Linked DNA regions of Mytilus edulis. The protein of the gene in region 3 interacts with the protein of the main gene of each other region in a pairwise test. Links are inferred from orthologs where the notes say so. Each region holds a gene or a part of one and is shown on either strand. Other genes may lie near its edges. The genes, in order: catenin beta-like; alpha-adducin-like; membrane-associated guanylate kinase, WW and PDZ domain-containing protein 1-like.

What was found.
Region 1: the proteins of membrane-associated guanylate kinase, WW and PDZ domain-containing protein 1-like (region 3) and catenin beta-like interact in a two-hybrid assay, tested with the Caenorhabditis elegans proteins (2 studies listed by BioGRID, with this or other methods). The link is inferred for Mytilus edulis from reciprocal best matches to the Caenorhabditis elegans genes magi-1 and hmp-2.
Region 2: the proteins of membrane-associated guanylate kinase, WW and PDZ domain-containing protein 1-like (region 3) and alpha-adducin-like interact in a two-hybrid assay, tested with the Caenorhabditis elegans proteins (2 studies listed by BioGRID). The link is inferred for Mytilus edulis from reciprocal best matches to the Caenorhabditis elegans genes magi-1 and add-1.

The regions. Positions count from the first base shown.
Region 1 is NC_092357.1:59,222,710-59,231,206, forward strand, and holds the start of catenin beta-like, read right to left. Parts: upstream 3,860-8,497; 5' UTR 3,651-3,859; intron 1-3,650. Other genes in the region: uncharacterized methyltransferase YdaC-like, read left to right, coding at 6,788-6,868, 8,014-8,149. UniProt on the Caenorhabditis elegans protein: Required for cell migration during body enclosure and cell shape changes during body elongation. Plays a role in recruitment of the cadherin protein hmr-1 to adherens junctions.
Region 2 is NC_092347.1:57,417,483-57,425,916, reverse strand, and holds the start of alpha-adducin-like, read right to left. Parts: upstream 3,347-8,434; 5' UTR 3,015-3,346; intron 1-3,014. UniProt on the Caenorhabditis elegans protein: Membrane-cytoskeleton-associated protein that promotes the assembly of the spectrin-actin network. Plays a role in time-dependent memmory loss and the retention of conditioned behavior over time.
Region 3 is NC_092344.1:29,414,117-29,422,684, forward strand, and holds the start of membrane-associated guanylate kinase, WW and PDZ domain-containing protein 1-like, read right to left. Parts: upstream 3,539-8,568; 5' UTR 3,214-3,538; coding exon 2,850-3,213; intron 1-2,849.

The DNA.
Region 1 (8,497 bases), on a different chromosome or scaffold from region 3:
AAAAACACAAACATGACATGTGTCTGTATAGTAACAGTGTACAGTAACTGTATACAGCCAAAGGGTCTGGAAATGATTATATTTGCCAGACATGACCAACAATGTACATTTGTGTACACTGAAATGGCAGATAAGCCATCATACGGGTTTAGGTTGAAAAATATTTTATTAGAGAAAATCTCATTTTCATGCCAATTTGCTTTAATATTTGTTTCACATTATATTCTGGTAATAAAACTACCGCTTAAGTATAGTATTATAATCAAAAGAACTAGTTCATTCTCCTTCCAAATAAGGAATTAAATTCATACATGAAAGAGTATGGTCCAACAAAAGAACTTTGAGGACAGGGCCTAACTAGCCTCTTTTAATAGTGAGGTAAAATATATTCGCAGAGCGCAGTGAGGCAAAAAAATTTTGGCGAGGGGTCTGGGGGTTGCTCAAGGGAAAGCTCTGAGGAAATAACGCAAAATCGTGCATTCTGAGCGTTTCCTAGGCTCTTTCTTAAATTGAAACATAATTAATTTTTAGCTATTTTTTCGATGATATTCTGGTCTCAAAACAAAAACATTGATTCATTGTAATTTAAGACTTGTAGATTTTAGGGACAACATTAAAAGACTGATATGTAGGATAAAGCAAAAATTGTAATTCTCATAATCATAAATACAGGATCTGTCTGTCTATCTTGTCTTGTGCTAAGACTTGGGTGATTTTTTTTTATGGCTAGATTAAAATATAAAAAAAAAATAAATGCAGTATTATACCTTCAGTACTTGTACTGCTTAAGTTGACACTAGGGACCATCTTGACCTTGTTTTAACAGTATTAATGATTCTTTTATTGTTGAAGACCCTCCAGCAACTATCAAAATGAAGAAAAGAAATAAAAACTTTGACCACTTGGATTGATAATTTGTATTTTTTTCATCGACTTTGAGTGCGATCAGGCCCCGTGCACGTTCTCTCCATATTCCTTTATTTTCTGTTAAAGGGTCTGAACATGACTTAATGCAAATTTAACCCTTCAATGTAAAAGGTCATATGGCATTTCATTGTTGGGTTTATCAAATTATTTGATACCAGGAAATTGGTGACCTTACTTTAATTGAAATCATGTCAGCTACATATATCTAGTTTTATCGACAAAATAGTCAGCTTTATATTCTTTGAAATCAATACCTGTCTGAAACTGTTACGATATATCAAAACATTCATATTAACTCAGTGTTCTCCTCAGGCCGATATGATGCTGGGGTACCGCAGCGCCTTCATAATATTTTCGTTAATCCCGCAGCGTCTGAATTGGCTGCTGTCCCTCACTACTTGATCCCGCAGCGTGTTAATTTTCACATTTTCATTATAAATTTGTTAAAATTGTCAAGTTGCTGACATGCTGATCACAGCTGAGAGGTCACTCAGTGTTACGCAATATCTGATAATATAGTTTTACCTGAGCCACGCTTATCTCAGCCTTATCGGACTATGTTATCATGTAATAGCGTAAATGATCATCAAGAAGATAGATATTTTTAGAAAAAATTAAAAAAATTAAAAACTTCAGTGCAGAAATTGAAGAAATAGATCGCAAATACATTCTATTTAAGTTAGGCATCGTGTGTGTGATTACTTGACTATTTATATAACGAATTTTTTCATTGGTCTAAAGAAGAATCTATTTAAACACGACCAATGAACCTGTTCAATACACGTGATGGAATCAGTGATTTTCCTGGTGTTTAGGGGAAGGGTCCTGGGGCCCATGCAATTGGGAAAAAAATTATGGTTTGGGAAAAATATGAATGGTCTTTACGAGGGCGGGCACACGGCGTAAGCCGTGTGCGCCTCGCTAGGGGGGTTTGGAAAATTTTGAAAATTAGGTGCAAAATCCTGCATTCTGAGAAGGATTAACTGCATGAATTGCGTACAAAATAAGCTATCTTTTTAAGGAAAAGGATTAAAAATAAAAGTTGAATGTGTCTGAGGACACATTTGCATGCACTCAAGCTTTGTAACTTTACTCTTGAAAGGTAAAATTCAACCTATCCCTTCTGATTCTATTTATAATGATGAGAATCTATAGAAATTCTAAAAAGACACATTTGAAATCTGAAGCATTTATTTTTTAGTTTTATTTAAAATTCCAAGTTTTCCTTCATGTTTATTTTTAAACATGTCAACTAGTTGTTCCAGTTCTGTATCTGAGAGTCGGTCTTTTCCTTCTTTCACTTGTTTCATCAGAAGGAAGTAGAAACGACTTTTTGAATCCAAAAGCTTTCAGCTTCCAGCATTTACTACCGTCCGCCGCCTTTAGCTTCTTTGTGTAATATTTGGAATTATGAGACATGATCTACGTTCATTTTGTTTACATTATGTCTCATTTTTTTGCTTTGTCATTGAATTATTCATTCGGATGTTTCAAGCGCAAACGTGACCAGAATATCGTAGATTGCAATGCAATGCAATCCAAAAAAGATTGCAAACCAATCATAGTCTTAAGTGAACGATAATGATAACTCCCGAAATACCCCGAACGCTCAGAGATTTGTCAACAAAATAGTACATGATACGGAGATACGACAATAACAAAATCTCGCGACGATGTCCATATACGATTGGGAATTTTAGAGCTGAAAATTGGGAAAAAAAGAGCATATTTCTCTTTGGGAATGGGGCCGAAATTCGGCCCCAAAATGAGGGTTGGAAAATCACTGGGAATTGAATACACATTGCTAAAGATATTTACGATGAAAATTATGAATGAGAGTATTTGTAGTTGAAAAAATTAAAATAAACTTTGATTAAAGATAACGAGAAGTGATTTATTTTAATTGAAAGTGAAAAATGTTGCTTGCAAGGTAAATTCGTTTCAAACTGTCATATTTTTAGAAATAAAATGATCATTGAACATCGATCGAGAGTGGTTTTTCTTTTTGCGATTTATGAATGGAATGTGAAAAACTATATCTCGAGTGAACGCGATTGATAGTTTAGATTATTTTTACCGATAACCGCTACGAATTTCAGCTGACGGTGACTATAGTTAGTACCTGGTAACCAGCCTAGTCCAAATAAATTTATTAAAAACAATTTTATTTTTTGCTTTGACGCCTTCCTGCAACTTCACAACGCTCATTCTTTCAGTTGAAATTCAAAAGAAAATTTAAACTTTATTTAACAAGATAGTCAAAGCCAGGGCAAAAGCAAAAACATAAAATAGCCTATCAAGACTTCATTCATCATTATTTAGACTTGTACCTGCCATGCTCTAAAAACCTTGTTCTAGTCACGATTTTTAGTTGAACAGGACCAAAGGTTTGACCATAAAGCACCAGCTATAAAATTTCTGACGCCGGTAATTTCATGCGTCATACTTCGCATGTATCATAAATTTTCGTCCACTTGTCACTTCCCCCTTTTTGAAATTATTTTCATGCAAGTAGCAAACCTTATATTGTGGTTACTACGGGTATTTTCCATCGACCCCAAGTTTGTGCAACTATGCAACTACCGGTATTATTTATTGTATTGCAGAGAGTAAGCCGTTGTATTTGAACACCCAACCGTCAACAAAGGAGAATAACTTGGTTCGAGAAAATATAGGTCACAAAGGGAATATTGGCCTGTTGTATACCTTTACTTAGTACCTACCGAAAATAACTGCCGCCTTGAACCAAAGGTGGCTTTCGAAATACTCAGTTTACAAACACAATCTTTGAATGCTTGAAATTAACTTCACATTACAGCAGAACTGAATCATTCAAATTCCAAGATGGCGATTCAATTTAATCTGTCACGCATGCGCTCTTAAACAAGCACCTGTTACTTGACCTATTTACCTGTAGGCCAAATTATACATTAAAAAATAGTTCTATGGTCATGTAATATTTGTCTTTCTCTTTAAAAATTGAATTAATATACATGAAAAATATTTTATTTTATTATTCTCATGATTTTTACAATAAGGAAATACTAGATATGACTGCAATATTAAATAAAAGGTTAACAGTCGAATTCATCCGCATTGTTTAGAAATACTCTTTCCATGTTTTCCTCATGCATCACGGTTTGTTACAATTGAACACATATTACTGTTACAATAAAATAAAATAACACCCATAACAATAAAAAAAATTAAAAAAAATAGAATTATTGGGTTTTTTTTGTATTTTGTTTGACCCTCGAGTAAAATTAGTTTGGTTTTTATACAGCATGATTATTGATTTGTTCAACTTCGGGATTTGTACAAATCCTTGATTTGTTTTATTATATAAAAATAGTCGGGTGCAAAGTCAAAATATTTTGAAAATGCACAGAATGTGAATCAATAAAGTTATGTTGTCTTGTGAGGGAACAACCATTTAACTTCTAAAAGAGTTAAAAAGGAGGAGGTATATGTTATTTTCTGGGTAATTTTTTTCTCTCCAAAATTCAACACAATGACTGTATATTTTAGGTATAGGGGAAATCTGCATTCAGAATATTTTTTTTGTTATCTGCTTGACCAGAATTTTTTTTCATCCAATTGGGGGATCAGAATATTTTTCAGGAAAAAAAACATAATCCTTGTCGTTCCTTTTCCTCCAATAAAAGAAAAAAATATATGTCGGTTACGATGGTTTGATAGAAATTTTATTCATATTCTGAATAATGAACTTTCATAAGGGTAGTAATGCCCTTGACCATCAAAATCTTGCTCCCCCGAAATTAATTTTATCAATGTTTATGTGCGATTGCCAGTTTATATCATAAAAACTATAGTAGATAAATACTAGACGCTTTTAATAGCAGAAATAATCAACACGAAAAAGATACTTCAAATGTGTCGAACATGCCAAATGGATGAAATTGTCATGCAGTCGATTCCTTATTGTAGTTATTGCTCTTGACAATGATGACTTTCAATAACAGTTTTTGGCGTTATATAGAATGAAATTCAAAACAGTGTGGCTGTGGCCATTGATTGACACATTAAATTCATCCATTGACTGGGACAATTTAGGTGAACGTTTGTATGTAACGACCACTGCTCACTATCAGAGGCGGATTTAGGGGGGGCCCGGGCCCCCCCTTTTTGGGAAAAATTTGGTTGCTTATATAGGGAATCACTGAAGCGTGACTGGAGCGGGCCCCCTCTTAGGTCAGTCAGTGGGCCCCCACATATGAAAATTTCTGGATCCGCCACTGACTATGTACTTTTTAAAGACACTTAAACTATGGGGTCACCAAAGGTTCTCAACGCCTTAATTAAGTAATTCGAAAAATTAATCAGAAATAACACGATGTTTTGATTTATATCAATTATATAAATCAAAACATAAAGGTTATTCCTGATTAATTTTTCGAATTATTTTATAATTAAAGGCGTTAAGAAACCTTTGGTGACCCCACAGTTTAAAAGTCTATCGTAGGTACGTCGTGAACAGTGGTCGTTACATACAAACGTTCACGTAAATTGTCCCGGTCAATGGATGAATTTAATGTGTCAATCAATGGCCACAGCCACGCTGTTTTGAATTTCATTCTATTACTTTCGCATTATAATAGATGCTTCGAAACATTAAAATACTAAGCTGACAAGCAATACAAGATCCGCATTAAGAAAGAAGTGTCAGTCATAAAAGTTGTTGCCTATAAAGGACATTTTTTTTTACCATTTGTTTTGTGTTTGGGGAGGGGGACTACAGAAGAAAGGGAGATAGTGTAAACAGAAAAATAATGATCACCAACACGATATCCCCCTTTTTCCCCTTAAAAAAGAGAGTTCAATCATTAACTTTGTTCGTGTACAGTTTTGTAGAATATCCATTGTTGAAGATGCACGTGACAGGCGAGCTACACAGGCTCTTAAGAGCATCTAGTTACATCATCAAAATTATGTTTTTCTAGTGTGACCAGGCCAATCCAATCATTTTTAAAATCCCTACTTCCTCTACAGAAAATCAAAATGCAGTCCAATTGCATTTGCTACCATCAAATTGCTAATTGACGGCGAGAACTCTTCAGTTACAGTACTGTTATTTCATTACTCATGATAACTAGTAGGCACTGTTTTTGTACATTTTATTTGCTGACGATAATGGTATTATGACATCAGTGGAGGATTCAGGGGGTGTAAACGGCTTACCCTTGGTAATAACTTTTTCGGAAAATTGCGCCTCCCTTTCCTCAAACACAGGCACTTGTCTCAGAACCCCCCCTACATACCTCAAACCCTTGATAAGCACATTGTACTTGTGCACATTGGCAAATTTTAATCCCTTTGAAAACCTCAACAAATTTCTTTATTTTTATTCTGATAACTATGTTCAAGAATCTGATGTGCAGTAGTTTTAGTTTGTTGATGTCATTGGCGGATCCAGGGGGGGGGGGGTCCGGGGGTTGGAACCCCCCTTTTCTTTGGTCGATCAATGCATTTGAATGGGAACATATAGTTGGACCCCCCCCCCCCCCCCCCCCCCCCTTTGTCCTGGGTTGGGAACCCCCACTTTTTAAAATGGCTGGATCCGCCCCTGGATGTGGTTCATATATAACTGTTTCACGTTTCTCGTTTTTAATATAAATTAGACCATTAATTTTCCCGTTTGAATGGATTTACACTGGTAATATTTGGGACCCTAAATAGCTTGCTGAGCTCTTCTGTGTGAGCAAAGGCTCCGTGTTGAAGGTCGTACTTTGACCTATAATGGTTTACTTTCACAAATCTTGACTTGGATGGAGAGTTGTCTCATTGGCATTCATACCACATCTTCTTATATCTATCTATATACTTTCATATATTCAGGAGGATGACTAATATCTTTAGAGAATATTTAGCACAGAATCTGCGGAAACCTGGAAGTGGCTTCTTTGGTTGGTATGTTACGAAGGTAAATATTTGTCTTAATATATACTATAGTACATCAGAATGCTGCAATACAAATTGACAGTACTTCAATATGAAATGAATCGAATAGACCACTTTCGAGTTCATCCGTCACCGGCAAAAACTCGTCAATTATGCACGCCTTTATGACGTCACTTACCAGATAGAGGGGCTCGCCTGTATCCCTGCACTATTTACGTTCATCAAGCGTCTTAGTGATCGTCTTTGTGCAGGATAACCTAGAAATAATGGTTGCTCTGTAGGTACTTACTGACAATTCCCTAATGACAGCAGTGTTGATTGTCAATTTTGAGAATTCAATTTGCCGAATAATTCGTACAATATAGAATTATAGTTTTCCAACCACTCGCTCAACATTGGAAGGAAGTGACGACGCCCCTAAACGCAAAAATGACGGTGATAAAGGCGCGTATAATTGACGAGTTTTTTCCGGTGACGGATGAACTCGAAAGTGGTCTATTGCTTTGTAACTGCTTCCTGTATTAACAAGGATGCTATCACGCTTCGAAGTTTTATGAATAATTATACCCATTTTACTGTATTTAAATGATTTTTTTACATTTTTGCATGTATGGTAAAACCTCGAATTCAGACATAATATCCAAACTGAATTTAAAACGTAACGGAAGCCGTGCGTTTTGGACATGTCCAAAATTACTGCATTATGTACTAAGCACATCAAGAGGTGTGGTATTTCTTATTTTCTTATGATTGCACGCTATAGATAAACACAATTCCTTTTAATTAAAGGCTGAAACTTTCACAGAACCACCATGCATACGTTTACAATTTTAATAAAGCAGAGATAATACGGAAATCATATTTATTGTTCCTAGAATATGGTTATTTACCACCAACCCATAGATGACACATACATTAACAACTATAGGTCACCGTACGGCCTTCAACAATGAGCAAACCCCATACTGCATAGTCAGCCATAAAAGGCCCAGAAATGACAATGTAAACCAATTCAAACGAGAAAAATAATATAGGTTGCTTAATTTTTATCAGATGTATTGTTCACATCTTAAATCTTCCATCAGGTTATGAAAAGAAAATTTTGAAACTTATTAACATCTTGACACCAATCACATCAACAATTTTGTTTTTAAATTTTAAATTCAGAATATCTTTTTGAGACGAAATGTGATTTTAGAAGAAAGTGCTGTAAAACTGTGTCAGATTGAACCACACCACAATGTTTTAGAGGTCGGGTTTGGACCAGGAGTTGGACTTGAAGCTGCGTGTAAACATGTGACGGGTAAGCTTGTAAATATGTGACGGGTAAGCTTGTAAATATGTGACAGGTGAGCTTGTAAATATGTGACGGGTAAGGCGATTCTCACGAGGGTCTAGATTGGGGTCCCTCATCTCATTTATTCCTTAAAGACCACTTGATAGATAATTTCCAAATGCTGGTAAAGTAAGACTTTTGTTAGCTAGCTTGCTTTGTTTGTATATTGTATAATTGTAATTGGGATAACGTCAATCTAATTAAAAACCGATCTCTCATCGCTCCTGTTTCTGATATGTCGCGTGGGAGATCTAACGAAACCGGCTTTGAGGTCACATGCGAGTGAACTAAAAGTTATGAATTTATAAAGATATG
Region 2 (8,434 bases), on a different chromosome or scaffold from region 3:
ATAAAATTAATCTCATGATATAATTGTACATCTTTTGTTTCTTCCACCAAAAGACAAAAAAACTTGAAGAATACTATAAAAATCACTATATGTCCATTGAAGCTATATACATGTATATATATATACTATAATGTACTATGTACATGCATGTTTTTGTAACATGCATATATACTGGGTACATGAATATGAACTTATATATATAATGATACTATAGGTAAGGAACATTTAAACAGCATATCCTCTATATCATAATCTCAGAGAAATTTTGAACAGATAAGAATTAGTGGCATGTTTTGAAATGTTACATGTCATCACCAGTTCAAATAATCAAGTTGATAACTTTAATAATTAAATCAATATGAAATTAGTAACAAGATGATAAATGTAGTAACATATATAATTAATAGACTAAACACTATCTGTCTGATAAGAGAACAGAACTTCTTACTACCCCCAATAGAGATCACAACATATTAATGTACTGGTCATGATCAGTAGAATAAGAACAAAAAGAATTTCAACATGTTGATTTAATAGAAAATACTGCCTTATCAATTCCATCTCAAAAGAAAAATGTCTCCATGATGAAAGATATATGCTGTATCATACTGACCTAAAACAATATATGAATGTATGTACATTGTATGTTTGATTCATTTCCCTGCTAAAAATTGTTTTGCCATTTCAATTTTCTTGGGGTGGAAATTGGGTATTTAAAATGTACAAAAAAATATATAGTGATGAACCATTATTGAATTTTTTATCAAAATCTGAAGTTGATCAGTTGATATTTGGCCTTTTTCTGCTTCAAATTGACAACTACTACTGATAAGCATACAGTACAGTACATTCAATGCCAATGAATTACTATAAATTGTCCACAAAAATGTATACATGTACAAGTAGTTTAGAGAAAAAAAATCTAAATACTTTTTTTTTAAATTTACATAATTGAGAAATGAAAAAGTGTTACAATCATATATTTTTCAATGACAGAAAAATGAATTCTGTCAGACTCCTTTTGATCTGGTGAGCATGTGTTAAGCTGCAAGAGGAAGCTGTACAGAAATAATTTGGGAAGTTCCATGTCTACCAATATGGAGACAGACAGTGAGAAACTGTCTATGTGAAACCGCATATGTGTCAGACATATCCTTTCCTTGTCAAAATACTGAGATACTTGCAAGGACCAAATTTATGCATATGGTGCAAAAGAATAAGGGGCTGGGTACTGCATAAGTGAAAACTAAAAGACGAGTCTGGTTCAGCGTGTGATGTTGGGTGCCATATCCTACACCCAAACAACTCAACTATGCACATAAATTTCCCAGCAACCATCACATGTATGCCTCTCAATACAGACATCAGGTTTTGGCAACACAAATTATGCCAAGTACCTTCGAGTCAGGTGAAGGAAAAATCTACTTGATTTTATTTTAGCTTCAATAGAAAAACTTGCAAGCACTAAATATCCTGTTTTTAGTTTTGATAAATGAAGAAATTTAACAGAGAAAGTAAGCAATTGCAATACCTGCATAAAGTTAATCACTTAATGTTTGAATAAAAGTATTGTGGCAACAAAAATTAAACATTTAAATTTTTTGGGTGCAGAACTCACAAATTTCATGCATTTTCATTCATGTTTCCTGGAGGAGGTTTTGGCTTGCTACGACACCCTGAGGCTGACCTTTTAACGAAAATAAAAATTGGCTCCATGCCCCTTTTCCGTCATATTTTAAAACGCCTTACCGTAATTTTTAGCTTCATGTAAGTCTAGAAATGATAATTTTATTACTATAATGGATTTAAATTAAAAACGGAAAAGTATTACATGTAATAAGCAAGTATAAAACAATGGTATATTCAATTAAATCCTTACCATTACTGTGCCTTTATATCTTTGTAGAGAGTGCTCTTAAAAGTGTACAAATGTAATCCTCTGCGCAAAATGTACCCTTACAATGTATCCAATTGCGCAAAATGTACCCTTAAAATGTATCCAATTGCGCAAAGAGTGCATTCTGAGAAGAACTTTATCTGCCATTTTCAAAAGCTTCAGGAAACACTATTTATACATTTGTAAATTTCAGATGTCATATTTTCATTAATCTCGATGATTACAATATATGACATCAGTCTAAGATTTGCTTTTTTAATGAAGTCATTGTAAAAAAAATGAATAAGGAATGTTCAAATGAGGTATAAATGGTTAATCTACTGCATCTATCTATAATTTTGTGAATTTCCTAGGTTAGAACAGGGTGTGCACAGAATGTACTGTTGAATATGATTTATTTTTTAGGAAAGCCTCTAATTTCTTCTCTTTTTTTTATCAGTTTACCTTTTTATACTGTACTGTAGTGATCACATTTTGTACATGTTGTTCTTTCATAAAATTAAAATTTAAGTACTGCTAATGGTAATAATGGAAATTGCACTATCATTTTAAGTGCAACAAGAGTATTGGCTGTCATAGTGTGTGAGTAAATGACAATATATAATATATATTCCTATAAATTTGCTTGAATACTAAATCATTTAAAATTAAAACAATCTACTGAATCAGTATGCAATTTTGCATGGATAACATTTGTGATTTGTATAGATTCATATGCCCTATGAATGCGCCCTTTAATTAGGAATAAATACATTTGATAAGATATGAATACTTTGTCAGAACTTTCTGATGTTTTGATGTTGCATTTGATAACATCCGACCTTGACAGTTGCAAAATATGGCGACAGAAAACATATAATTTGATTTTTTTCCCGTAGCTTCTGAACATTTTAACTTCAATGACAATGTTAACGAAACTATCTTCGCATATAACAGTTCTGTTGTAGTGTACACAAATGTATTGCCCATTATTTGACAGTAGACGGACAAGTTTACAAGTAAGCGCTGTTACCGTCTTCACCGGCAGCAGAAGCCGGTCGGACATTACAAATTATCTTTTGATGAGTTGAACAGGGGCGTGCTTTCATAAAGTGGTTATTGACGTTCAATTACTTACCTTTGTTTCTGCTACGAAAATTATTTGATCGTTCGTATGAAAGACTACAATCCCCGCCAATTTTATATTGGCCCCTTTGAACACAGACAAGGCTTTCCCCGATATGCAAATGAGTTGTTTCTAAAATTAGTTCCACTGGCTATTCCATCTTTTGAATACACCCGTTGTTATCTCAAGTGAATGTTCTGAATGTTTTGATAAAAGCAAGCATGGACTGTAAATTATACACTGCATGGGACACTAATATTTTTTTTAAATAAATATTTTTTAATATAAACAAATGCGATATGCTTCAAAGTTATGGTATACACAACAACATACTTAAGAAAGAGGGAGGAAATTCACCGGAAATATGCACCAGCTACCTGAATAATGACATCACTCACATTTTTGTCTGTAAAGGGAAATCATTCATACTCCAAGTTTGAATAGGCGCAAAATTTAAAATGATTTATTATTTGGAAATTACACCATATATGGGTCAATAAAAAAAAATCTTCTCAGGTTTTTTTTTTTATTTAGCCTATGATAAGGTAAGATATTTTTATTCCAATTAAAGGGCCCATGAATAATAGCAAAGTAATTTATTACAATGATTTTTTTATAATTGACACAATAATGGCGGGGGGGGGGGGGGGGGGGGGGGGGGGGACAATAATACCCTGTTGTGACCCTTTTCAAGGTTTTGTTAACTGTTATCTGAGGTAAATTTAAGCTGTAAACTGATTTTCAACCCACTTTGTTAACTGTTAACAGCATTTTTGTATTTGTAAACAGCCAGATCAGATCCACACACATATTAGAAAAAAAGGCATAAGGGGACGACCATTTGATATGGGGGGGGGGGGGGGGGGTCACTCAGCCTTGATAATCCCAAAAATAAATGGTTTGTTCTGTGATAGTTTGCAAATAAATTACCTGACTTGAAATGTATTAAAAATAAATAAATCAGCAGGTATAATCGAAAGATGGCACCAGATTCTTCATAAATTCATCTTTTTTCCCCCAAAACACTTCCCTATTTTTTTTAATAATAGAGGAATAAATATTATCTAAATAGACTTGAAATGTCTGAAAATTGGTTTCATTTAACTGGAGGTATATTGTATCAGGAAACCTTACCTCACTTTTATTTTATTACAGGGCCGTAACTACATTGAGGCAAATGCCTCATGTAGGAAATTTCAAAACCAAACTCTTGTCTCCATATCAAATTGGGTTCACGGCGAGTGCCTTGCAAGAAGCAAGTTCTGTTTTCCCTCAGACTTACATTTGTAGCCCTGCTTTTTCGGGATCAATAATTCTTATTTATTTGTCTTTTGTTCATTGATTGCCCTTCTGTATTCTGTTAGTGTTGCATTCCTTTTGTAATCTAGTAATTTTGTTCTGAACTTGAACATGAATTTAAAAAAAAACAGCAGCCACAGACTTAATTATGTGAATTTCATTTTTGCTTTATCATGCACATTGGTCTTTTGATGTTGTCCCTAGAAACTTAAGTCTTACACTGATTATTTTTGCTTTGAGACCAACATATTGTCAAAAAATTATTAAAACAAAACTTGCATTTTCAGATTAAGAAAGGGTCTTCGGAACACCCAGAAAGCATAATTTTGCATCATTTGTTCTAGTGCTGGTAGATTAGAAAGACTTGTATATTACAGTCGACCATTTTACTGTATGGCTATTGACACCGTAGCTATTTATAAGAGTACAGTTATATACTAGTACTACACTATATGTTGTATGTACTATATATTTACTACGTTTATTCATACATTCATTCATAATTCATTCATTCATTCATTGACGGACAATTAGAAAAAGACTTTACTCTATATACTACTCTGCACGAAGTTATTATGCATGCAACCCCGCCACTTTTTCTAGCACTATATATACGGCGAACTCGGACTAATGCGAGTTTCACACACTTTAGCACACACGCTACATAAGGGACACCTAACTTTTTCCCTACTTTCAGGTAAGCACATTTTCTTTTAGGCCTTATCATGCATGTACTTCTATCCAATTCATAGTTCAATTTATAAGGAAATTTCAAGTTAACATTTGAAATAAATGTTTATTATAATTATGTACTTTCAGTGTGAAATACATGGTTTGCAACATTATATTTCGTCACATATTCAACGCCCTATTTACGAAGATCAAGTGGCCATATTACCCTATGACACTATAAATATTATACAAAAGAGTATGATACGCATACTAATCCTGCTTCTATTTGAAGCGTACGGATACGTTTGAATCATTGTTTATGTTGCAGTTTACTTTGCGATCCCCGTTAAAATGCTGTTGTTTTAATGAAAAGTCACGTCGGTAAAATATAAATACATGTATTCATGAGTGAATTATAAAATGTCTGTTAAAACATTAGTTTGTACTGTACATTGTAGGAATATAAAACGTGTATTCGTACTCGCTCTAGAAAGCTCTGCAAACACTGCCATTATCTGGCATTTAAATTAAAGCTGTCACAAATAAATGGCGCATATTCCGACAATAAAAGAATTTTGTATTTGTAATTTTCAATGACGATTGTATGGGAGGTTGTAACATTAGTATGAACGCGGCAAGCAGATTAGCTACATCCAAATATTCAATATGCTTCGAATTGTTAAAAATTCATTTGACCTGAAATATAATATTTGCAAAACATAAATTACCTTTATAGCAATTAATAATTGGTCGGACTTGTTAATTTAGAAACAATCACTTCAGCCTACCGATAAATTGTAAAGCCTATATGTTATACCTTAGCATAATAGCTTTTGCAAAAAGACTTTTTAAACCTCGATTTTTTAATACATCGAATCTTACCCTTTGGACCATCGCACTTTAGCGTGATACACCATCGTACTTTAGCGAACAAAAACAGTCGCACTTTAGCGTGAGACACCATCGTACTTTTAAAACACATGGTATGGGTAAAATCTCTTTGTTCTTACTGTGCTATAATCTGGATAATGCACAGCAAAGGTGTACCTCAGATATACTGCACAGTTCAAATCTATTTTAACCTTTAGGGGAGGTTCCTAGATTTTGAAAGGGGCGTTATTCTATCAAATTAAAAAAAAATATATCACCGAGCGTCGCGAGACTAAAAACAATATTGACGATTTTAAGGCAAAACACGATAATTTGTCCAATCCTAGGGTGAACGACATGTTCGTCCCCACCCCCGAATCCGCCATCTGCCTTGAAATTACGACAAAACTGAACTTTGTACAAACATCGTAGTTTCAGAATAGGAAAAAAAAAGGTTTCTCATTCCTTTTTTTCATCTTAGCTTGAACATAAAATGTTTCAGTATTATATTTTGCGTACAACATAAATCTTAAATCAGTGTTTTAAAGTCAGAAAGAAAGTTAAAACAATTTTTGGTAACTTCCGCCAAAAAAGAAATGTATCTAAGAATATCCGAATAAAAGAAATCTGATTTGGACTAGTTTTAGATTCAATGGATTTTATAACGACTTCTTACACGGTGGGTATGGTTGTCCTGCGAGAGAACGTACTGTGCTGGTGATTTGGTCCTGACGGGTGCTGGTGGGTCCTGATTCTGTGCTGGTGGGTTTGTTTACATTGTATCAGAACGGCAATAAAACGACTGTTTTGTTGCTTAATTTTTCTCTGATGTGTCATAAGTACCATGCAAAGTATATTACAACAATATTATATTGCAAAAGTCGTGCAAGTTCGTTAAACGGAATTGTCCTGACGCTGTGCTGGTGATAAGAAAAACGGTCCTGGTGCTGTGCTCCTATGTCCTGGTTCTGTGCTTTTATATTTTGTTAAAAGTGGCATATATTCAAGAGCATTGATGCTGTACTGTTGTTGACTAATTAGCTGTTGTCTGCTTTCTTGAAATTGACATTGTTGTGAATCTGTTTACTGTTATTATGAGAGAAAAAATACCCCTATTTAAAAAAAAAAAAAAATGAAATTAACTGTAATCTTATTTATTGGCCTGTTAATGGAACCCTTCTTGCCCCCTTTTAAGATAAGAAAATATGTTTACGATTTTCGGGATTACGATCATTTTGCAAGATCACCAAAATACGTTGTAATTTATACAATACTTAATATAATGTAGATGATGTGGTATGTTTGTTGTCAATGGACAAATTTCCATAAGAAACCAAAGGAAGTATGTGTTAACAACCATACGTCATCGTACGACCTTCAACAATAACCCATAAAATAAAAATGTGAAAGGTTTTGCATAAATATAGAACAAAGGACTTTCTGAGCGTTTGAATCATGTCTTTAGCAGCTTAAAACACATTTGTTTGTGAACAATTGAGTGTTGACTATAAGAATGACAATAGTATTGCGGGTTTGTTTGTTTGGTGTTTTTTTTGGGGGAGGGTGGGGGAGGGAGGGGGATAAGTTAGAGCGAGGTTACAGTGAAAGCTTGGAATAGTTTCCCGTAAAATTTTAAAGGTGGGTTGTAAAAGAAAAATGTATCTTATATTAGCCTTGGTCACACCTTACCGGATAGCTCGAACGGACGCCTAACAGATAACTTTTTCTCAATCCGTTCATGTCCGTTGGACGTCCGTTCTTATCCGTTAGGCGTCCGTCCATATCCGTTGCATGTCCGTTAAGCGTCCGTTTTATCCGTTGACGTCCGTTCTGTCCGGTGGAAAATTTTGAGCATGTTCAAACTTTGAACGGACGTCCAACGGATAAAATGTCCGTTGAACGTCCGTTAGGCATCCGTTTTGTACGGTACTCGTCCGTTTTGTATCCGTTATGCATCCGTTGGAGATCCGGTAGACCAATTCACCAACGGATGTCTACCGGACGCCTAACGGATAAAACGGATATTAACGGAAGGATAACGGATAAAACGGATGACTACCGGATGTAAAATGGACAAATGCCAATTGAAATTTCTCATGGTTTATTGCCTTTAATTTTTAGATGGTTTATTGCCTTTAATTTTCAGATTATTTTGTTCATCCGTTTTATCCGTTACGCTTCCATAGCGGTGTCTGTTTTATCCGGTACTCGTCCGTTGGATGTACGTTCGACGTCCATTCTGTCCGTTACGTATCCGTTTCACGTACGTTCAGTGTCCGTTGTGTGTCCGTTTGGCATTCGTTACATGTTCGTTAGTACACCAACGGACTCCCAACAGATACAAATTTTGTCAACGGATAACTTTTTTTTTATCCGTTAGGCGTCCGTTCGAGCTATCCGGTAAGGTGTGACCGAGGCTATAGCTATTAAGAATCACGCTGTAAGATTTTTCCAAAATATTTTTTTTTGTCTAAGCGGTTATCAGGTATTTGTTTTTCGAAAATTCGATAAAACACTAAAAAAATCACTATTTTATATGAAAGGGCAAGCTAGAATATGTCAGAGAATGAAGACGAGATAACCTAGAAAAC
Region 3 (8,568 bases):
ACCATGAAAATGAGTTCAAGGTCACATGAATCATGTCAGACAGACATATGTAAATGTACATGTACACATTACAATCAATCTATGCATTAATTATAGTTGACCTATTGCTTATAGTATCTGAGAAACAAACTTAACCATGAAAACATAACATTGATCGTGAACCATCAAAATGAGGTCAAGGTCAGGTGATACCTGCCAGACATACATATACAGCTAACAATCCTTCCATACAACAAATATAGTTGACATATTACAGTTTGTTATAGTTTATATTATGAAAAACCGACCAAAACACAAAAACTTAACATTGAGCAACTAAGGCTTTGTGTTGAAGACCATACTTTGACCTACAAATGTATAATGGTTTACTTTTTAAAATGTATTAGTCTTTTAAAATAAATTGTGTCTTGGATGGAGAGAAGTTGTCTCATTGGCACTCATACCACATCTTTAATTCTTATATCTATGTTACATAATAATGTACATGTACACTGCTAGTGCCATATATATGCATGCTCATTAGTAACAAAAGATCACTCCTTCTTCTGAACAATAATAATTCACAGTATTGAGTGAAGTCATCATTTTTCTGTGTATAAATAAGGTGATTACAGGTGATGATTAATTAACAGGTAATCAGTAATCAATCAAGGATTCGGGTAATATTGATTTGTCATCTTTTAAAAATGTTTTACTCTTGCAGTATAAACTAACATCAATATTTTATAAAGATATTCTTATATAAATAATACATAAATTATAAAGTATCAATGATGATAGAAGCTGTACATTTTGTACATGTATAATGACACTTCACTACAGTGTAGACCTACACCTTAGTTTAAACTGGACTTATTAAAGTCACTTATATAATTACTAATTAATGAGCTAAACAATTGCTAGTTACATTTTGTACATGCATTCATGGTATGAATATTCATTTGACAGACAGATACAAAAAAGACCTGATTATCTGTACATGTAATACTTTTTTTATAAGAACACCAACTTCATGTACATGTACAACTGAGCATATATATACATGTACAAATGTATATATGTTACTTTTGGTAAAGTGCACACAATGTTTTTACATTTATTACATTGTACATTCAAGATACATTTTTTTTGTACTTCAGTTGTCAATCAAAATCATATATCAAATTTTCATTATTTATCATGTTTATTAGTATCTGCCACTATTTTTTTATTCTGTATAGATGAGTAAAGATTAACAAGTTTTCTACACATTGATATGGTGAATTATCAATCACAAGCCACAATGTGAACTTTTTTGCAAGTGAGCGCAGCAAATGAGCTAAAAAGCTGCACATTGTGTCGAGCATCTGATATTTTATGATACATGTATCTACATTTTGTAAACAAATTAAAGAACATCTGATTATCTGTGTATCGTTCTATTTCTGATCTTTCCACCTCCCTAAGACAGTTTTACGCTTCATGAAAAAGCAAGCTTGATATAAAGTATAGATTATCGGGTTTTCTACACATTGATATCGTAAAATATCAGCCGCGATCCACAATGTGAACCTTTTTGGCGAGTGAGCACATCGAACGAGCTAAAAAGTTTCACAGTATGTTCATGAGCGGCTGATATTTTACGATATCTATAAGAAGAAAACCTGATTATCTTTTTATTGTTCTATTACTGGTCTTTTCCCTGTAAGCTTCACAAAAGCAAGCTTGATAATGTCTCCCCTCACATTGTGACGTCACTGATAACTTCTCCTCTCACAGTGGGACATCGCTGATAATGCCTGGTCTCCTTTTGATACGAGAATTAAGGAGCGACAGAGCAGGGTGATACATGTATAAGCGTAGGGAAGGAGGATAACGTCTCCTCTCACATTGTGATGTCGCTGATAACTTCTCCTCAGACATTCATTGATAATGCCTGATCTTGTCTCAAAGCTGTGACACCAGAATTATGAAGCGACTGAGCAGGGTGATATAGGCGCAGGGAAGAACGATAAGTTTTCATCTAAGTTGGGGGTGTTAGCAGACCTTTATTATATTTATATTCATTGGGATTTTACCCATTTTCATAATTTGGGCAAAATGGGCAAGCTGGAAAGAGTTAGTTAATGGGAATTAACCCTTTTTCGTAAGTGGGACAAGTTAGGAAACCAGTGTGGGAAGTTTTTTTTGAAAGTGGGGCAAATTTTTTTTAACTGGAGAGATTTGGTGAAAAGGTGGGCCCAGTGGCGGATCCAGGGGGAGGGTTCCAGGGGTTGGAACCCACCTTTTTTTTGGCCGATCAATGCATTTGAATGGGGACATATGGTTGGAACCCCCCCATTATCCTGGGTTGTGAACCCCCTTTTTAAAATGGTTGGATCCGCCCCTGGGGCCCATTAATGTTTAGTGATTTGGTACTTACACTCTGACTTTAATTCAATTACATGCATAATGAATATAAATAAATGTATAACAAAGGTCTGCTAACTCCCCCAATTTAAACTTGTTAAGTGAAAACTTACATACAAAATGTATGTACATGTACAATGTATCTATCTGTTCCAGACCATATGAGTATATATACAATGTACTTGTTTGATTATTAACAAAAACACGTCCTAGACGCATGAAAATCGAGCTGGACACCTAATTTTTTTAATCTGTGCATGTGAGTCCCTAGGAAGTGTCCTGATTGTATACCCTGAGTCCCAAACACATCGTTTTGCCTAGAAGATTCATGATTGTCATCATTGTTTGTCAAGAAACTAATGGATTGGAATAATTATAAGTGAATTTTCTGTGGGGAAGTAATGAATTTTGGCAGCTAGTAACCTACATGATTGTGTAAACTTCATGTTCTCTTTACTCACCAATTTTTACAGTTTTCACCATTATGGGTGCTCCATTTTGACCAACTTGCTTTAACCATATTGTTGCATCTCTCAGAGTATATCCAGCAATTTTCTGTCCTTGAATTTCAAGAATAATATCATCAACATATAATTTTCCATTATGGAAAGTTAACTGGGATAATTTAAGTTCAGATATATAACAAAACTGTCCATTATCTGCTCCACCTTTGAGATGTATTCCAAATTCCCCTTCAGGTAAAGCTGAAACAACCGTTTCCTGTATTCTTTGACTCCAATGTTTTTGTTGATTATGATCCTTTTGGGGCTTAGGAGGGGGTGCAACCGGTGGATGTCGTACAATATCTTGTTTATTGTGTGACATTATATGATAGTGATTGGTGCAGTTTGAGATTTAACAACATCTGATGATTTTAACCGATGGAAAACACATAAAAATGACATTTGAGGACACTGACCAACGCAATCCACTCGGAAAGTTGTCGGAGTTTTTGTTATTATTGCGTCCGATCTGGACATCTCCGCACTTGCCTGTTCATGCCATTGTATAGTTAATTGATGTTTCTGAACTCTTGCATGTGTTTCTAATGTAAAATATGCAAAACAATGGTAAATTATCTTATAAAAACATTCACATTCCGCCCTATTTTCAAACACAGTCGATGATGCATTCGTTATACGCATGCGCTAAAGGTTGACACGCCATAAATCGTTCTAATTGTCAATTAATGTCGTAAAAACGAAAGGAATTATAATATTCGATACATTTCCGATTTCATTGCATGCGTATTTGGTTTGTGCATTTTCACGTAAATACATCCTATTGTCTATTAGTCAAAGGTGGGGGAAGAGGGGGGTAATTTTAAGAGGCACTAGACTCTAACCCTAATAAGATCAGATAAGATATTTTTATTCCAATTAAAGGGCCCACGAAGAGCTACAATAATGTTGATATATGATAGTTTGTATGAGTGAGGCTTGTATAGGGTATATTGGGATATGGAATATTTGCCATTTTAATTTTAGGGATATGGGATATTTGTCCTAAAAGTAAATGGGATATGGGATATTGATGCATTTATAAGGATATTGAATTTTTAACATGAAAAAACAATAAGTGGAATTTAAAAGTTAAGTACAGAAATATATACATATCACTTGATGAAATTGCCCAAAAAAGTTTAATATTAAAGGTAATTTTAGTGCTTTGTTGATTTTAAGTGAATTTATGGTCGTTTTATGTTAAAGTAATCCAAACCCAAGCGAAAAGTATTGATCTATTTTCGATATTTATATGCTCATATGTACTGATAATTTTAAAAGTATTTGTTTTGCTTTCCATACTTTGTTCCTTATTGTTAATTTTCCTTTTTTGGATGGTGATGTTCCTTTGGCACTATCTTACGGTGTTTGTATATCACAACTCCTCCGCTATGCCCGTGTCTGTTGTAATGTTTTGGATTTTAATGAACGAAATCTATGTATTACTGGTATATTATTAAGTCAGGGATTTCGTTACCACAAATCACTTAAAATCTTTACTAAATTCTAGATTTGGTTTTGAAGTTTGGTTCTACCTGTAGAAAACTTATTTCAAACGGGATAGCACATCCTCATTTTTACGGAGATGTTGTTTACCGTGCCATTGGATGCTGGATGTGTAATGATTGATAATTTAGTCTCAGATGCATTACTTTTTATTAGTTGTAATTGGCTTTGAACTGGCTGTCAGTAACTGCGAGTACTCTCAGATCTGTACTTGGTGTCTTTTTGTTGATGGGATGTACAAGTACTCTGTGACGTCCACTCTCTGTTTTTGTTAGATGTATTTCTATTTGTATCCATCTGATGAGTTAAGCCTTTTTCAACTGATTTGTATAGTTCGTTTTTATGTTGAACTGTTACACCACTGTCCCAGGTTAAGGGGAGGGTTGGTATCCCGCTAACATGTTTAACCTCGCCACATTTTGTATGTATGTGTCTGTCCAAAGTCAGGAGTCTTTAATTCAGTGGTTGTCGTTTGTTGCTGTGTTACTTATTTGTTTTTTGTTCATTTTTTTATACATAAATTAGGCCGTTAGTTTTCTCGTTTAAATTGTTCTACATTTGTCATTTCAGGACCTTTTATAGCTAACTATGCGGTATGAGCTTTGCTCATTGTTGAAGGTCGTACGGTGACCTTATAGTTGTTAATTTCTGTGTCACATGGTCTCTTGTGAAGAGTTGTCTCATTGGCAATCATACCACATCTTTTTTTTATATTATATGCTCATATGCATTGATAATTGTCTTGAAATAATCATAGATTTTTAACCGGATTTTTGTGACAAAAATGTCGGTTATTGATTTGGGGATGTACGGCGGGCAGGCGGCAATCAAATGTTGTCCGTGCATTTACGCGTGAACTGTTCTACCAAAGCTTCCCAAATTTTAATATGTTGTTACTGACAACTAAATGAAGGTCAAGTTCAATAATGGCGATTTTGACTTTTACCGTTCAGGAGTTCTGGTTCTTGAAAGATTGAAAAATGGTGTTTCCAGTCGTGTCCGTGCATTTTCTCATGAACCATTCAACCAAAGCTTTTGCAATTTTTATATGTTGTTACTGATGACAAAATAGAGGTCAAGTTTAATAATGACGATTTTGACTTTTACTGTTCAGGAGTTATGGTTCTTGAAAGATCGTAAAATGGCATTTCCATTCACTTTATTGCATTTACTCATGAACCATTCAATCTAAGCTTTTCAAATTTTAATATGTTGATACTGATGACAAAATGGAGGTCAAATTTGATATTAACGATTTTCACTTTCACCATTCATCAGTAATGGTTCTTGTGGTATTGCCAGGACACAAATAAATGTTAATAAATCCGGTTTGCTGTCGTTGTGACAGCCTCTTGTTGTTAGATGTATCCATCTGATGAGTTAAGCCTTATTGTTGTCAATGTTTTTATTTGTTTTGATGCTTTATATGATTATAGGATATTTTCTAGTGTTTTACCTCTTATTTTTTACGTGGCGAGGATCTTCAGAGGTCTCCACGTTTCACAGATTGCTCTGATGTGCAACGGCTGTTTTGCCAGACAAGCTGGGGCCGAGGGACGTCAGAGCACGTCCCATATCAAAAATTAGATATTTCGCCGTATAAACTATGTTAATAACGAATAATTACTAAATAATCATTGTAAATTAATATATTTTCTTTCTATTACTGGTGTTGTGAGGAAGGAAATTAAAAAAAAGTAACAAAAATATTGGGATCTATGTAATTCATAAAGTTCAAGATCACAGAGTCAAATGTTGTGTCATTTCTTTGCAAAACAAGGGCTGTGCAAATTTTGCCTGCTGTAAAAATAGTTAAGTGTAATGTAGGTACATTAGCAGAAAGCTTTCTTGTGTTAAATTTTGAGTTATTGAACTTGCATGCTTAATATCCACTTTTTTTATGGACGTGCTCGGACGTCCCAGTCTCAGCTTGTCTGGCAAAACAGCCGTTGGATGTCAGAGCAATCTCGGACAAGAGCAGGCGCGGATCCAGAGGGGGGGGGGGGGGTTCCGGGGGTTGGAACCCCCCTTTTTTTTGGACAATCATTGTATTTGAACCCCCCCTTTTTAAAATGGCTGGATCCGCCCCTGAAGAGACAGGGTTGAGTCCTTCTGTTCTTTCCAACATAGGTTAACGTGTAGGATGAAGTTTCTTATCAATGAAAGAAGAATGCTATCAAAATGAAATTTTACAGTCATATGCATCACGGTTTGAACAATTAAAAAAAAAGTCTGAAATTAGACCCCTTACAATAAATTTATCGTTTAAGATCACATAAAAAGATATTGTTATACAAGGCTCTAAGATGGAACACTTCATCTTTTGGACACATATATTCTTATTTAACACTGGAAGTATGCACTGTTTTCCCAGTCAAAATTGTTGACGTTGTGATGATGAGGAAAAAAATGGGCTTGGGAATGAATTTATAATGATTTTTTGGGATATTTCAAAATAGTTTTAGGGATATGGGATATTTGTAAAAAATATTTATTGGGATATTAGGGGTAAACATTATAGGGATAAGGGATATTGGGATAAAAACTTAATGGGATATGGGATATTGATACCCCCCCTAAACAAGCCTCATGAGTGTATCCAATGTAACCAATGTAACCATTATGTCAATGGGGGTTACAAAACAAGGTAACTAAATTATGGTGCACATTTTGTGCCTTATATGCTAAGTAGTTACTACTGTAATCACTAGCCAGTCAAAATTGAGGTTGTGAGTTCAGAACCCCGCTCATGCGGGTGCACTCGACTCCGATCTGAATTGACTAGGATTGTCAGTTTCCCTATCGAAGGTCGGTGGGTTTTTTACGGGCACCCCGGCTTCCTCCATCAATAACAACTGGCACCCACGAAATAGCCTAAAACAAGATAAGATAAGATAGATAGATAAGATATTTTTATTTCCAATTATGGGCCCCAAAGGGCATAAACATTACAACATCAATAATTACATCATAATACAATAACAATGAGATAAAAAAAAAAAAAAGTTAAACGAGAACTATTTAAGTTCTTAAAGAATACGTAGATAAAGAATCTATAGTATGTTGGTTTTTTTTAATACTAATGCATTTTATTACAAGTGTGGTTGATATAGATAACAAACAAGCAGCCCAAAAAGAAAAAAAGAAAAGAAAAATAGATATCCACATATGTATAGTACACAAAAAGTTGGATCAATTAAATATATAATAATTAGCCAAAAAGAAAGTAGAAATTAAACATGTCCATGACTCATCCTGTGTCAGCAGCAAATAGGAAAGCATTATGGTTTCCTAAAGGCAGCTGACACCAGGGGACGATACCTTATGGGCCATAGGCATGTAAAATGTGTGTAAATGTCTCTTTCCTACCTGTATCAAAAGCAAACAAGGAAGCATCATAGGTAACTTGAATGCAGTTGATACCAGGGGACGATGCCTCAAGGATATAAGAGAACATTTGAATAAATAATATATCTTAACAATTATTATTTTTTTTTTAATCGGCTAGTATGTTTGTGATATTCAGATGAATATAATTTTCTATGTCCAATCAAATGTATATACACACATAGATTTCCTTTAACTAATCTTCACTAAGGAAGATGTTTGTATATAAAATTACATATTATTTTAAGTAACTCAACATTTTCTACACTAAATAACCAGATAATTTTGCTTTGACTGTTCATATGATTAAAATAAGAATTATATTGTGCAATACTAGCTAACATACAATTTCTATCATCCTCAAATTTGTTACAATCAAATAGAAAATGAGCCTCATCTTCGACAGTATTGGAAGAACATTTATTACATATTCTGTTAATTCGGGGAATACCCTGATATAATGCGGTGCTCTGAAGTGGCGCCGTTAAAACTCCAAAAATCAATCAATCAATCAATTATTAACAGGCAAATATTCTCAACGTGTTAACTTGATAAAGCAATATCTGTACTATATTGATAGCTTTCTCCACAGTTCAAAACATTTATTAATATAAATTGCTAGACAACTATCAATATGATGTCAGAAAAATGGTATCTGAAAAACTTTTAAAAAACTTTCTTGATCTAAATTAAAAAGCCTGACAGAGCCAGGTCCAGATAAAATATAAGCATGCATACTTAAACAATTTGCATCTGAATTTTCACCGTAACATCTCACTTTTAT